Linked DNA regions of Lytechinus pictus. The protein of the gene in region 1 purifies or fractionates together with the protein of each later gene. This does not show direct contact. Links are inferred from orthologs where the notes say so. Each region holds a gene or a part of one and is shown in the gene's direction. Other genes may lie near its edges.

What was found. The genes of interacting proteins can lie anywhere in the genome.
Region 2: the proteins of probable cytosolic iron-sulfur protein assembly protein CIAO1 homolog (region 1) and DNA polymerase epsilon catalytic subunit A-like purify together in Homo sapiens (affinity purification with western blotting; 3 studies listed by BioGRID, with this or other methods). This does not show direct contact. The link is inferred for Lytechinus pictus from reciprocal best matches to the Homo sapiens genes CIAO1 and POLE.

The regions. Positions count from the first base shown.
Region 1 is NC_087256.1:15,794,380-15,802,259, reverse strand, and holds the start of probable cytosolic iron-sulfur protein assembly protein CIAO1 homolog, read left to right. Parts: upstream 1-4,875; 5' UTR 4,876-4,988; coding exon of another isoform or gene 4,989-5,093; 5' UTR 5,094-5,286; coding exon 5,287-5,431; intron 5,432-6,641; coding exon 6,642-6,902; intron 6,903-7,753; coding exon 7,754-7,845; intron 7,846-7,880. Other genes in the region: spermatogenesis-associated protein 24-like, read right to left, coding at 4,989-5,093. UniProt on the Homo sapiens protein: Key component of the cytosolic iron-sulfur protein assembly (CIA) complex, a multiprotein complex that mediates the incorporation of iron-sulfur cluster into extramitochondrial Fe/S proteins.
Region 2 is NC_087252.1:33,395,035-33,402,574, reverse strand, and holds the start of DNA polymerase epsilon catalytic subunit A-like, read left to right. Parts: upstream 1-4,525; 5' UTR 4,526-4,780; coding exon 4,781-4,854; intron 4,855-7,540. Other genes in the region: MAM domain-containing glycosylphosphatidylinositol anchor protein 2-like, read right to left, coding at 4,380-4,428. UniProt on the Homo sapiens protein: Catalytic component of the DNA polymerase epsilon complex. Participates in chromosomal DNA replication.

The DNA.
Region 1 (7,880 bases):
TATTAATTTTACTTAGCATAATTTTACTTGGCAAAGTAAAATACTTAACAATGGCAAAGCAAAATTCTTAAACTTGTTAAGTATTTTACTTTATTATTAAAGCCAAATTTAAGCAAAATATTTATTATTACACTGTATATTAACGATTGTGACATCATAAAGTTTAAGCCATAGGGTGTCAAAAGCAATAAATAATGTCTCGACTCCTTAACTTAGTGTTTGACATATACATGTATATATATTTTTTAATATTCTTGAAGTTCATGTTCTACATGTATATAAACCACTCCATCACTGACATGATGCTACAGGGCATCGAATCTTTAGGTACCCGTCCTGACTCAGTCCGTACTAGCAGGGAGAAGCTCTGGATGAGACGACTTCGCACCACCCAACCTCATGGCCTGAACATCCAAGAGGGGAACGACTGATTTTTCTTTCCTATCCACTTTCAATTTATATATACATATAATTTTTCCCCTCAGCTCTTTTGAATAGTTACATTATAGTTTCTTCCTCTACTTTCCTCCCATATCTCATACAAGCTCAGCTCCAAATTTTCCTTCCTTATTCAGGCGATATAATAATTATTATATATATATATTTGTTTTTTCTCCACTCACCTCTTTTAGATTTACCACATTTGCTTATTTACATGTATACTTTGGTTTCTTCATAATACACCCCTTCTCTTCTATATTTGCTTTTACCTTTTTAGGCAATTTGCTTCCTCTTTTTCACATATACAGGTTTTTTTTTTTTTTTTTTCCTACTATATAGTCTTATGTTTTTTTCCTGTCACACCTAGCGGATTACAATATCAGTTACACCATATGTTTATTTATATTTTTTCATATACATTTCTTTTTTGGATATATTTTTATACATATCACTTATAGATACATATTTACACTTACCTTCTTCTCTTAGTTTGTTTAATGCTTTATCATATATACTTATATGTCTTTTGCACATTATCAGTTGTTCCCCATTCTTTTCCTTTTTTCCCCCACTCTTATGCACCAGTTTATTATGCCTTTCTTTGTAACCTGTTTGACCCACCTCTCACTAATTCTCTTGTTATTCATCCCATTATCACTGTTTTGTTCCAGATCCTGTTTGATATTGCCTGCCTCATTATCTTAATCCCTCTTGGCTTGAGGTCTTTTACTGGCCTTACTTATACTAACTTCCCTTTGTGTCTGCCTACTCCTTTTCTTTCATCCCCTTCACTAACCTGATTGGTCTTCTCTACTCACTAATGCCCCTTTTGTCTCCTTGTTTATAGTGTTGCTGTAGCTTGTTTGTGGTCTATATTATGGTTGTTCCACTTTATATGTTTGTCATTTTGCCTCCGACGAAGATTCTGCTAGGATCAAAAGCTTAGGCCCCTTTTTGACTTTCTGTATATAAACTTCCATAAAGTTATGAACTTTATGACCAACATTTATGATCATCGTAATTTTTAACATTGTTTTCTGTTAAATAGTATTTTTCCACTGCCTAAATATTGATTTTACACATCTTTCTATTTTGTTTATTATTGCCATGCTACTTTACCTACTTGGCATGTTTGTATCTGTGCAAGTTTCACATTTTTTTTTGTCCTTGGTTACTTTTCATACCCAATTTTCTCTCAAGTCTAAACATTAAATCACATTTGTATTTCTTGCATTATACCTGACGTTTGAAATAAATAAATTAGATTTTTCACAAGCAGCCTCTCATATTTTCCTTCTTAGTCTCATACAGTCAGACACGTTGACTTTGTTTACTTGATTCAAACCCTATTTTTACCTCAACAAATAACTTTTAAAGCATAATTTGCAAAATTATCACTTCAAATATTAAAGTATTCATAAAAATTCAGAATATTTCAATATGTCGAAATTACTGATTTACTTCCATTTTCATTTTCGAACAAGTGTCTCTCTCGTATATCAATGAAAGGTGTCCTTAAAAAGACTATGTGTTCTAGATAAGGAAAATAATGAAAATTTCGATTTTATCCAGTTATTATGTTTGTGGATCTAGTTTAACTTTAAAGTTGTTTCTCTTTTTTTTTCACCTCATAAAGTACATGTAAGCTCCGGATATCAACATCTCCATATGTACATCAATTCCACAATCTGTAATACATACATAATTTTTTGATCTCCATTTATGGAAAATTAAATAGGTCTATACGATTTTATGAAAAGTTGTCATTCCGTAATAGGTTGAATTAGGTTCAGGTGGCGATGAAGACAAAATTTTTTGACGATACTAACTTAGATCTAACTTAACGTGTCGTGACTAAATGATGTATATACATGTAGTCTAGGCCTATACCAGGTAGTCTAATCAAACAATTCAATGTCAAAGTTGGATTGGATGACAAATTTGCCTTCGTGAAACTGAAAGCGCTGATTTGTCGCCAATCTTCCTATCTCGGAAGAATGGTCCTTCGACGTCCCTACTATGCTCATCTCGTCATGAAACAGGCCCAGGCATGGTCATGCTGGCTCCCTACCACCTAGACCAAAAGCTTCGGTCTCTGTTATATTGGTTGTTCCGCTGAACTCCGTTGGCTCTTGCACTCACCAATTACAGAGACCGAAGTTCTAACTTAACTTGATCTGTAGTTACAGGGACTCAATGGCCATATGTTTATGAACTACATGTATTAAGTTCGGATAAACCAGAGCAGTGGGAGTTACTCGACAGCCGAAGTAAGTCACTCTTTTTTTTCCTTTTAAGTTTATTTTTTCCCGTTTTGGTGCATTTCAGGCCAAAATGGAATCTAAATTCTAATAATCTTCTTTTTAGGGCTAGACCAATGAAATAGGGTCTAAAGAAAAAAAAAGACAAAAATCAATGAGCCCCGTCGGGGGGATTTTGCATTGTTAACCCTGTAATGGTGGCTGCACAATCGCGAGCCATCTGCGTATGAGGAGAATTAAAAAAATTTATTAAATGTTAAGAAACAGACGGCTGCCAGCAGTCTACTGTACCGCCTAGACAGCTGGCAGCCGTCTGTTTCGAGGAGTTTTTTAACATTTTTTAATTTTTTATTTCTCCTCGTACATAGTCGGCTCGCGATCGTGCAGCCGCCATTAGGGCATTAACAATGCAAAATCCCCCCGATGGGGCTCACTCACACATATTGCGAGGTTAGTATTAGTATACTATAACCTCGCACCATGAACCGCGTTTGGCAGTGGATTTCTAACTAGTGGGTCGCGCGTGCTGCGATCCCACTTCTGGTGTCCACAACACACGACTTCTATGGCTTGATTTTTATGTGCGTGGCGGCATGTAATGAACCCTTGAGTGGACGGGGCTCATCGATTTTTGTCTTTATATCATAAAAATATATAAAAAGAACTGGACCAAAATAAAGATTATTAGGCCTTATCCTGAAATATGTCACCTCTCTTCTCGTGTGTGTCAGTGTGTGTGCGCTCGCTGTGTACAAAGTCAATGGGAGATGAAAGAATTCACCACCGCTTACAAAATGAACGGCAGTGAATGGAGTGGTGACTTAAACCAGGATAGACCTTATCGCAAATAGATTCACGAAAAGGATCATGGGATCAAAAAGGGAGCAATAGCGCCGCTATTGTCCGGATGCGGACATGCGAACGCAAGCAGCCGACAATAAAGTGGACGATTTCCATAGTATATCAAAATAGGATCAACGCCGCAGCCAACATTTTGCTAACTTCCAGTAAACGCCTCGTCATATTTGTTCCAGAGTCTAACATCACTTTTCTTCTTAATTATGGGTGGCAGAGAAAGATGTGCTGTCTATAGCTGTAAGAATTACCACAGATTTAATTTTTTGCTAAGTTTGAATGTACTTTCTTTTTTATAATGTGACATTTTATGTAAAAAAAAAACAATCCAAAAATCGGGTTTCCGCCGAATGTTAGATCTAATGTTACTGCTAATACTGCCAACAACTCTTCAGTCTATGTATTGGTGAGTGGAGCCAACACAGTTCAGCGGAACAACCAAAATACAGAGACTGAAGCTTTTGGTCTAACCCCCCCCCCCCCCTTTCTTGTAATGATCAAACTCAAAAGTCCGATTTGCAAAGGACTATATTTCCCCCAAAATAACAAAAACTAGCTAAATTTATTAGTTATGGAAATATATACATGTATCATGGCCTACATTATGATTCTCATCAATATTCTTTAATGGAAAAATAGCCTCAGGCTCTCTTCGGATCGCCGATCGGGGGCGAAAGTTTCAGGGTTTTTTGCGGTACACGCAGATGAATAGGAAGGACTCCCTGGCTTCATGGAGAGTAAGCCTACGTTAGTAAATGATTTTTACTCTCAAGAAGCCGCCTGGCTACTATACATTACCCCCGGGAATAATACATGTACCCCGGAGAAGTTAAAATGACATCCGTTTTTGGTCGTCCTGCCGTGCAAAAAGACGACCTGAAATTGATGACAACCAGCCCCCATATAAAAAATAACTTGGCGCCATCCCACCCAGATAAAATGCATCAGAGTGCAACCAAAAAAATGTTTAGAGGTGATATGTCAGTGTGGCTTGCCGTAAATGCATTTTCTCTCAATGCCGACGGTGGCGGGCGGTGTGCAAAGAAGATCATGCCTCGTCGTAGGACATGTCTGGTCCTCTGGAGGTGTCTTTCCAAGGACCATTCTTCGTAATCGCCCAAATCGGCTTTGTTAAACAGTTGAGCGATATCTCGTTCTTACGTAGAATGGTTCTACGAAAGACCCTTTCATGCAACAGGCCCCAGCAGAACAACCAATTTAACAGAGACCGAAGCTTGTTTTGATCTACACTACCACCTTGCTCTCGCTCTCGGCCCTGGCCTGACTCATCACGCCACCGCACCGGCCCGCGGGGAGCATGAGCATCCGTCGCAGACGTAGCGGCGCGCGCTCGGCTTGGAATGGATCTCTTTCGCCCTCTTTCGCTCTCCTTTGTATTTTTGATTGAAGTCGGTTGGTTATTTAACTCACATTTGAATATTTACGGTCCACTAGTTTCTTCTGTGCAGTCAAAACATCCTTAAGCTGGTTAAAGACGATTTGCAGAGATGATCCTGAAATGTTATGTTCTGTCATTTCCAAATTTAATCTTCCCGGATTTTCAATTTTTTATAAATGTCGCGAGATGGCGCTACACACCGGAAAGTTTGTGATGTGCATATGCAACCAGCCGAAATAGAAGAAAAACAACTCCCAATTATTGATAACTTTAACGATCTATTTATTCTCCCTAAAGGATCAGGAGTGGAAAGGACCTGTAAAACAGTCAATGAACCAAATGGATGGAAATTTGCAGCCGATTTCAACATTGTCTGGTCATCACGACCGCGTTTGGTGCGTTTCGTGGAATCCGACCGGGACACTTCTGGCGAGCTGTGGAGGTGACAAGACGGTCAGAATCTGGGGCAAAGAAGGTAGATAATTCCCGATCAAAGAATTGAATGCTAAGTAGATCTATAGGGAATGATTCTTGCTAATAATGTGTGCACTTGTGCCTTGTTTACAAAGATTTTTGAAATGGCGGAGCCTAACAAGTTTAACATTAGAACATGGTTAAAGTTAAAACTTAAAAACTTAAAGTTAGTCTGACTTCGTTAGGCGCTCACGTGCGTCATTTAGCCTTAAATTAAACGAAAGTTAGATCTAACGTTGTCGTTAGATCTAACGTTAACAAGTTCGATATCTAAGTTGGGTCTAATGTTAGGGCGGGCCTAGACTCAAGTAGATTGTAGACCCCTACGTCTACTCGTTATGAAAATTATTTACACCAATAACTTTCTTGCTCTTTGTAATATATAGACTCCTAATTTACTTTTTTTTTAAAATCTTTTTGTACCGGTACCGTAAGGGCACTAGTATTCAACCCGTTTGGAGAGTTTCCTAAAATATATAGAAATATAGAATTTACCTGAATTTCAGACCCGTCTTATTTCCAAGAGCAAATGCTGGTGATTCTTTTTCCGTTATTTTTTTCTTCAACCAGTTGACTGTGTGCGCGGGCGATCGAATTATACGGCGACGAATTTTGGTACTAGTATTCAACCCGTCGGTACTAGTATTCAACCTAGCGATGAAAGATGGCCCTGTCTCTCAATCTGCCCTTGTCCCATCCGACTATGGACTAGACCATTTGAGATGAGACCAAACGGGGAATTAATCAAAGCCAGAGACTTACATAGATCTACATCTAATTTAGCAATCTAAACCCTTTTGAGATTTGCTATCAATCCTCACTAGGTTGAATACTAGTACCATTCAGTGCAAAAGGCCATCGCCGCATAATTCGATCCTCCGCGCATACAGTCGACAGATTGACAAAGAAAATATCGACAACAGATTACCCTGGAAATAACAAAGGTATGAAAGTAAGATAAATTCCCTATTTCTAAATATTTTGGGGAATATGTCAAAATCTTTGAATTATGCCGGGTTGAATACTAGTACCCATACGGTAGTGTTTTTTTTCTTCTTTTGCATTAAGTGACGAGACTCTATTTGCATTAAAAAAATACAGAAAATCTGCTGGAAGCTGTTTTTATCTGTCTTATACTGAGAGTTCTAGTTCATTACTCCATTAAACACTTTATTATCATGACAATAATGATTATTGTGTTCTCTCACAAGGTGATAATTGGGTCTGTAAGAAGATCCTCCAGGATGGCCACACAAGGACCATCCGACGTGTTGCCTGGTCACCCTGCGGTCAGCTGCTGGCCTCGGCAGGCTTTGATGCCCAGACCTGCATCTGGGATCGTCGCAGCGGAGAGTTTGAGTGCAGCGCCACCCTAGAGGGCCATGAGAATGAGGTGAAGAGTGTTGCTTGGTCACAGTCTGGCTCACTCTTATCAACGTGCAGCAGGGACAAAAGTGTTTGGATCTGGGAAGGTAAGCATTGACAGTACAACACACATCATCAAGGGCATGTGTTAGAATAAAACGCCAGAGCCCCATAATTATTATTTGGTCTGTTTCAGATGTAACAAGTGTAATTATTCTCATGTCCAAGCAAAATCATGTGTATTATGGGATTATGTTTTGTGAGATAGTGACACTGGCAGTTCCAGGGGGGGTGCAAAGCCGGCCGGTGCCCCCTTTTGAGAAGCACAATTAAAATTTGTAATGTGAAAATGCTGTTAAAACAGAAGTGTACCCCCGCCCTTTGAAAGTGAAGACCTTTTACTTTTTTTTCTTTTTTTTTTTGCTTGTCAAACTCTTCTTTTTTTTCTTTCTTTTTTTCAGCTTGTCAAATTTTTCCTCTGGAAAATATGCCCCCCCCCCTTTTGGAAAATCCTGGATCCACCCCTGGATAGTGATGTTTGATCCTTGTTATTTGATGAACCATCCTCATTGCAAAACCATGACTGGTCAATAGAACTTGTCAAATTATCTTGTTAGCTACTGATGAATGGCCATGTGATTGATTTCAGCCAATCGTTTGATGAGGATCCATATTACCATTCGATGAATTATTATATCAATTATGATTTTTAAATGCCTACTTCTATAGGTATTGTTCCAAGGTGTAGAAAAATTGGATCATACATGTAGATTATTTGATAGACTATTAAGAAAAGCATACTTACTGCAATAGCCTTCTTGTGGATGTTCATAAATCCTTCTGAATTAACTGTTCTGATTAACTTTTGAAAAAGCTTGGACATATGATCGGGGGAGCTATCGATATGGTATTATTTTGTTTTGTGTTTTTATTTTATATTTGAATGACTAATTTGCAGTTGACCAAGAAGACGATGATTACCAATGTGCCAGTGTACTCAGCATTCATACTCAAGATGTGAAGCATATCGCCTGGCAGCCTGGACGTGAGGTACGATATATGCATTCTGAATAATCAATACACCT
Region 2 (7,540 bases), on another chromosome or scaffold:
TGATTATATGATATGCCTACATGTACGTAGGACATGTCTGGAGGTGTCGATGAGGTGTCTTTCAAAGGACCATTCTTCGCATCGCCCAAATTGGCTTTGCCTTTGACTTTGTGAAACAGTTGAGCCATATCTCGTTCTTTTGATGTAACGTAATACATGTACTTCCAGCGGCTCTACCAAAGACCATTTCATGAAACAGGCCCCTGAGCTCATCACCTGCCGGTGTCATAGGCGATTTGGACCGGGCAGCCGATCGGGGCCGGAGGTACTAATCGGCGGCTCTTTTACCCGCCGATTAGTTCCGACATTTGTTGTGTGATGCGATCGTCATAGTCGCTTTGTTCCGACCAGGCGATTTGTTCCTATACGCTGTTCATGCACCATTATCCCCCCTACAGCAAGATTGTGATATTCCAGTCGTCCTTTTCAACCAATTTGCTCCTCCAAGTCAACCACACCCACAGAACAGATACAGTTGCCGATTTGAGAATCTCAAGTTATTTAGGAAGTTGTATGCATTTTTTAGCACTCTTCCAATTAATTAAACATCCGGGGACGGCTGCTGGGTGGAGCCATGAAGCCCTATTCACACTGTGTGCTCCCTTTGTGCGCCTGTGCTATTCAGGGTGTGAACTTCAATATATCCACCAATATGGCTGGTTTGTCTTGGTCTTCATTACCAAGCAAGAAATAGGATGGGATTGGCGACTAGGGTGATGGTGGGGTAAACACTGCTGCATGCTCTTCGAACCCCCAAAGTAATCAAGTAGAAATCAAAATGAATGTATCAATACAAGAAAACTAAGTCCAACAATAAGGCTGCCAGAAACACAGGGAACTCTCAATGACACCTCATTGAGACACACACTATGCGCATATTTTTTTTTTTGGGGGGGGGGTTGGGGCATGGGACCCGGGTAGTCGAAAAAGGAGGAAATATATGAAAATAAAAGGGAGAGAAAAAAACGTAGGAAGAAGAGATCGCAAGAAATGGGGAAAAGTATATGAGAAAAGGAAAAAAGGAAGAGGGAATAAGGGGGGGGGGGAGAAGGAAAATGAAGGGGGAGATGAAATAATAATAATAAAAGAGTGTGCATGAGCGCGCCCGCAATTTGAAGTTTGCCTTAGGTAATGCGAGATGTCCTCGCATTGGATAACAAAATCACGGTCCATGTTTACAATAAAAAAGTTAAAAAACAAATGTTTAAAAACTACCGTTAGAGTAGACTCTACTCCAAAAAAGAGACGTGGTACAGTACGGTACCGTGTCAACTGTCCAGGCAGTCCAGCGCTGCACGTGCGCAAAAAAGGTACCCGTACATACTACATCGCATCGTGTACCGAGGGTACCGTCCGTAACATACATGTACGAGGCTGAAATACCTCTTATCTAGATCTACCTAGACCAACATTTTTAATTTTAGACTGAATTATAGAAATAATTGTGATGAAATTAATAAAAATCACACCAATATTATATATATATTGTAGGTACGTGACAATCCGCGCTTCCGCAGGTTATTTCCTTGCACCGCACTATCGTTCCGCCTCTTGTTCGAGTGCACAGTGCATGTCTCTGCTAAAATCGCTGTAGCGGTGCTATTTTTAGACCTTAAATCATGAATGGGGTATTGATCAAGAGATCGGGAATCCCGCTTGATATCGCTTATTTTTTTTCCGTACGATGAACAAGGACTGAGATACGTCGACCATCAAAAGATTGGAGACGAATTCGATGCCTTGAATTAAAAAAAAGGAAGGTATGTATAGTTTTGAACGTTATATATCTACGTAGAATATTTATTTAATTACCTGCATATGAAATATCTAAGTGATTTGATTACCGAAACAATGTTTTTTAGCTCCGAAACTTACTGTACATGTATGTGCCAAGCAAAAATTGGCTGCATGACCGCGCGCGCATTATAGGCATCCTGGTGAGTTTTCACGGTGCTGCGCTGGGCTAGTATGTGGCTGTCAGCTGTGCTAGGGCGCTGATCTTGCTGCTTGCTGAAGTGGGGTTTATTGTTTGTTTACCAAATTAACTGCTCTTTTCTTTCGTGTTTTGGATTAATATAACTACATTCAAAGATATTGGGGGGGGGGGGGGCACAACTCCAAATTTATTTTGAAAAAGAAAGCTGGGCAGATTGAGGCTTAATATCAGTGAGTGTGTGAATCAGCTCCCCAGGACTACGAGGCAGGACCCATTCCCCTTCTTTTAAAAAGGATTATTTTTTTAATAGCTTCTTTCATATTCTTTATTTTCTCTTTTCTTTTTTATTTTCTTCACTTTTCTTTTCTATTTTTAAAATTTTCATTTTTTTTTTTTGTTCTTTTGTTTCTTTTCTGTTCATATTTCCCCCTTAGGTTTTCTTTTATTTTTGTTTCTTTTTAAAATTTTTGTATTGTTTATTTTTTCAATTTTTTTGGTCAAGTTTCATTATTTGGAGACTGGATTTGCTTTTGAAAGGAGAATATCTTATATGTTGATTTTTCATTAAAATGCACAAACTATATGTTCTTTATTTTTTTGTTGTAATTTTTTTTTTCACTCTTGTAAGAAAATACATGAAAACTCAGAGAAAATAATATTTCATTTCCAGATAGGTCTAAGTCCTGTATTTATGTTTTTTTTAATTTTATTTTTTTACTTTTTTTAAATACTTTTTTTTTTCATTAGGGGTGCAGGTGGGGTTGTGTTTTAAACTGGAAAATGGGGATGGGATTGGTACAAGTTTTTGTGTCACTTTTGTTTCTCTTGTTTTAATGTTTGTTTGGAGCTTTGATGTCTGTTTTGTTGTTTAGAGCTTTGTTATCTTTTTTTCCTGGTTGTTTTTTGTTTTGTTTTGAAAGAAATAGACCACTCTTTTCCTTTTCTTTTGGCTTCAACTAATAGTTTGAATTCATTTATTTTTCTTTAAAAAAAGAGAGCTCAAACAGGGCCTTTGCAATACAATGTGTGTATACAAATCTACGAAATACATTAAAAACTGATAGAATATATTAAAGCTTAATTTTTGTACTTCTTGATACTTGAAATAAATTGCATATAATGCTACATAACATATTTTACACTCAGCTGCTCATCCCTCCTAAAAAAAGTAATCAAATGTCCATTGTCTCTAAAATCAAAAGCTACATATTACACATGTATAACAAATTGTTGAAACAATAGAATACATAAGGAATTGGTGAAACAATCAAATACATCAGAAAAAAGCACACTTGTATTTTTATTTGGTCATACAAAGTACAAAAGGGATAATTTGTATACGTAAAAAAGGACCCCCGTACATACATGTATACAAAATTTACAATACTAAGTTGAAAAAGAGCTTGTAATTTATATCAGAAAAACAAGGAAATACATTAGAAATTACAAAAACAATACTTTAAACAAATTTATTTAGGAAATTATCTACATGATGCTGTTTTGATGCCAACTAAATTATATAAATTATCTATCAAGTATCATGATCACCTTTATTTGGCAAAAAAAAGGGGCGAGTTACCGAGTAATTGTGATTTTGTGTAATTTGCATAATTAATTAGAATTAGAAGAAATTATTTTACACATAATAATAAGAAAAATTACAAGATGAAATGATTACACATCGATTGAGTTTTCTTTCACCTTTCCATTGATACCTAAATTACTTCATAGGGCTAAAAAACAAAGTTAGAGCCTGTTGAAGACTTGGGTTCAAAATGGTCACAAAAATCGGTTCTGTACTCCACTGAATTGACTTTACATTAAGACAATGACCACAAAGTAAACCTGGATGAATATGCGCGACTTCACTTAAACTGGAATAACTTTATAATTTCTTGATAAAAATTAGAGTTCTTGGTATCATTTGAAAGGTCTTTTTAAGAGCTTTCAAATGATACCAAATTTATTCATATTTGATGATTTTCATTTTTTTTGTCACATACCTATAATTATATAGGGCCTAGGCCTATATTGAAACATTTCACCAAAGCAGATATTATTATATATTAGGCCTAGGCCTAGGCCTACTACATTCGAACCTTCTGACGAATACGGAACCAAACAGCGGCTTTCCGTTCGTATCGGCAAAAATTTCAACCAGTCTTTTGGATCTGGCAGCCCCGATCGGCTAGCCGTTTGGCCTGGTACTGACAGCCCAAATATAGGCCTACTTACTAGCCGTTTTGGACTGGCGGGCTCCGGTCCAAATTTTCTACCACACCGGCGCCGGAGGTACCGGGACTGCGACGTCGGAGCTCCCGTCGTCAGTCCTCACTGAGCTGAGCCGATTTCCGGGTATACCAAAAAGAAACATCACTGCTTAAACACACTTAATGGTACAATAAATAGCACACACTCTTGTAAACGAGGACAAGCGACTTACCTTTCATCACCAACAACAAGGAAAAGGCTGAAAATATTAAGAATTTCATGATGTTTTACTTTTAGTCGCTCTCAGACTCCGATATCGATATCTCGGCTCCTCAGCTCAGCTCAAATAAAGAACCTCACATTTTGCGCGCCCTCTTTAGTTTGAAGTTAACAATTTTCGCGCCCGCGCCAAACATGAAGTTTCCTAGATCATCGACTGATCGAGAATAACACGAACAAGCCTAATTTAATACTTTGTCTTTGATATTGTTCTGTCGAATACGTACATGTACCAGGCTGACACATATTTTGAAGTATTACTGATGCGTTTGGAGGCTTTGAATTTGGACAAAACTTCACATGAGAGGCAGAAAGTTAAAATAATTATCACTGAGTGTCTGTTCAGATTTCGGAATGGTTCTGCAGAACAGCGGCCGCTACAGGGCCGACCGCAGTGAGAACGCCGATGGTTCCGGGGGAGGTGGTAGGTGAGTGAGCGGACCCTACTGCTTGCAGGCATTCAGCTGCATCTGCAGTGCACCATCGTCAATCGACTTCATGGACGTTGTTTGACTCGAGCCTGTCTATTAATGCAACATAGGTCTAACGAGTAATGTTACACCACGTGCTACAAAAACCTGATAGGCCTACTAGATAGAAACGTCATTGATTAATTAGAATTTAGATTTAGAATAGGCCTAACTATCTATTTTAAAAATAGTTTGTCATTCATTGATCATTCATCATTTCATTGTCATTGAATCGAGATTCATCATGACATTATTCATGTCGAGATTTAAGAACCCATAATTGTGAAGCTGCATTTTGTACTTAGTTTTCTAAGCCTGTATTTTTTCTCTTTTGCATTAATCTAATCTAACGTGAGAAACTTACATTTTAAAAGTTAGAATTAGGCAGTAGGCTAGACCCACTCAAGGTCAAGGTTCTAACTCTGGCGCACTCACAGTCACACGTATTGTGAGATTAGTATTAGAAGTATACTAACCTCGCACCACTTGTTCACTGCAACCACCCACTTGTTCACTGCAACCACCCTGCCTGTGGGGAATCTACAGGTAGGACTATAGGTCTAGGATAGTAGGAGGACTACATCATGGCATGCCAATGCTGTGCAGAGCACACACTTTAAAAAATCATTAAAATATCATTTTTGTGACCAAAATTACTAATTTCCATACAGTTGCAATTTATTTTTTATAAGTAACTTGGGAATAATTTTTGTACTCACTAGAGCGCTCGAAAAAATTGAATTTTGGGCATATTTTTGTGTACGCCCTCTATTGGTGGAAAATAATATGGCAAGAAAATTTTCATTTTTTATCTCTATTTTTTATTAAGAAAAAAATAATTTAAAGCATCAAATTTACTTAAGGGCCAAGTTACGACGAATAGGTGAATTGGAAACTGTCACGTGTAAGAAAATCAAGCATTTGTCCCAAAGAAAAAGAGAAAATGAGCCAAACATTGCCATCCTTATTTTGCCACACATGGAGATACATGTATAACTGAGAACAAGGTTATATCATAACCTTGTTCATTGAATGAGTACCTCGCACCATGAACCGCATTTGGCAGTGGGTTTCTAAGTATTGGGTCGCGCGTGCTGCGATCCCACTTCTGGCGTCCACAACACACAACTTCTATGGCTTGATTTTTTTGTGCGCGGCGGCATGTAATGAACCCTGGCTTGAGTGACTCTGGCGTAGTGCGCAGGAAAGTTACATGTACAAGGTCAAGGGTCAAGGCACAACAACACCCTCATAACCGGAATTTAGACACTAGATCATACATTGTTAATGACCACTTTTTTCCATAAAACTTACCAAACAATATGAATCCACACTTTCCCTCTTCTTTGTCTTTCTTATACAGTGCGTCCAAAAAAAACTATACACTTTTGAAATGGCTGCCAAATAAAAAGTATATCACTTTGGGGGGAAAGAATTATATATATGGAAAGCCAATAAAGTCATCTTTCAAATGACACCAAAATGTTGGAAAAATATTCATGCTTGAGTGAGCACTACCCACTTAAACAAAGGGTATGAAAATCAGGGTGGGCAGGAATTAGCCTTTTGGTTTCTTTCAGTTTTTGAGAGGTGAGTCCCTTGGAACTTGCAAACTTGAGGGTGTTTTGATGAATTGATGGTCATTATCAATTTGCATTGTTAAAGCAAATTTCATGAATTATCAAATTGCAATTCCATGCATGAGTGAGCATGAATTGCAATCTTTAGTGCAGCATTTTAACTTTACTATGTGGGTCTCAGCAGTGTGTTCATTGGAGTCGGGAGAATAGGGGTAAGAAACGACTTCAGTGGGTGAAGTAAGCTGATGGGAAAAGGGTCAACAGAACGTTTAGCCTCCCTCCTGCAGGTCCATTCCTCTCTCCTTTTGAGATTGAGGTTGATTGCTATTACATGTACGTATTAAGTGCAGAGCGGACTGTCAATTTGATAATAAATTCTGAAAATTAGGTCATCAACTTTTACCTATCATTCAATCAATAATCTATTAGTAAATCAACTCAATCAGTGCGATCAATCAAATATTCACCCTTTTCAATAAATGATCAATCAAACATTCAGCTTTTTCAATAAATTATTTCATAAATCATCATAATTAGTCAAGTTTTTAATAATCATTCAATGGAAAAGAAAGACCCGTCAACCATAAGTCATTTAAGTTTGAATACCATCCAGGAGAAAGAAAGGGGATGGAGGGCGGGGGTGAGTACATGATTTGTTATTTGTAAGAGAACACAAAGAAGAATGCCCCTATAACCCAGTCTTACCCTATCTCACCCCCTTGCATGTAACAGGTACCATCACATTACTCTGACTCTCACAAGCACACTTGATAAGATCCACATAATAAACTAAAAAAGCTACATTAAAATTACAATTCCTGTTTACTCATGCATTACATTTCAATTTAGTAACTCATGAAATTTGCTTTAATATGAAACCAAAACTGATCTCAATTCATCATTAATTTAGCATAACACCCTTAACTTTGCAAGTTCTGAAGGACTCACCTCTAAAAAAACTGGAAGGCTTATTCCTGCTCACCCTCGCAAAGGCTAGTCTCTCAGGAAAGGGTGAAAGGGGTAGAGAGAGAGAGAGGGGGGGGGGGGGTTAAGTGTTCTGTTGA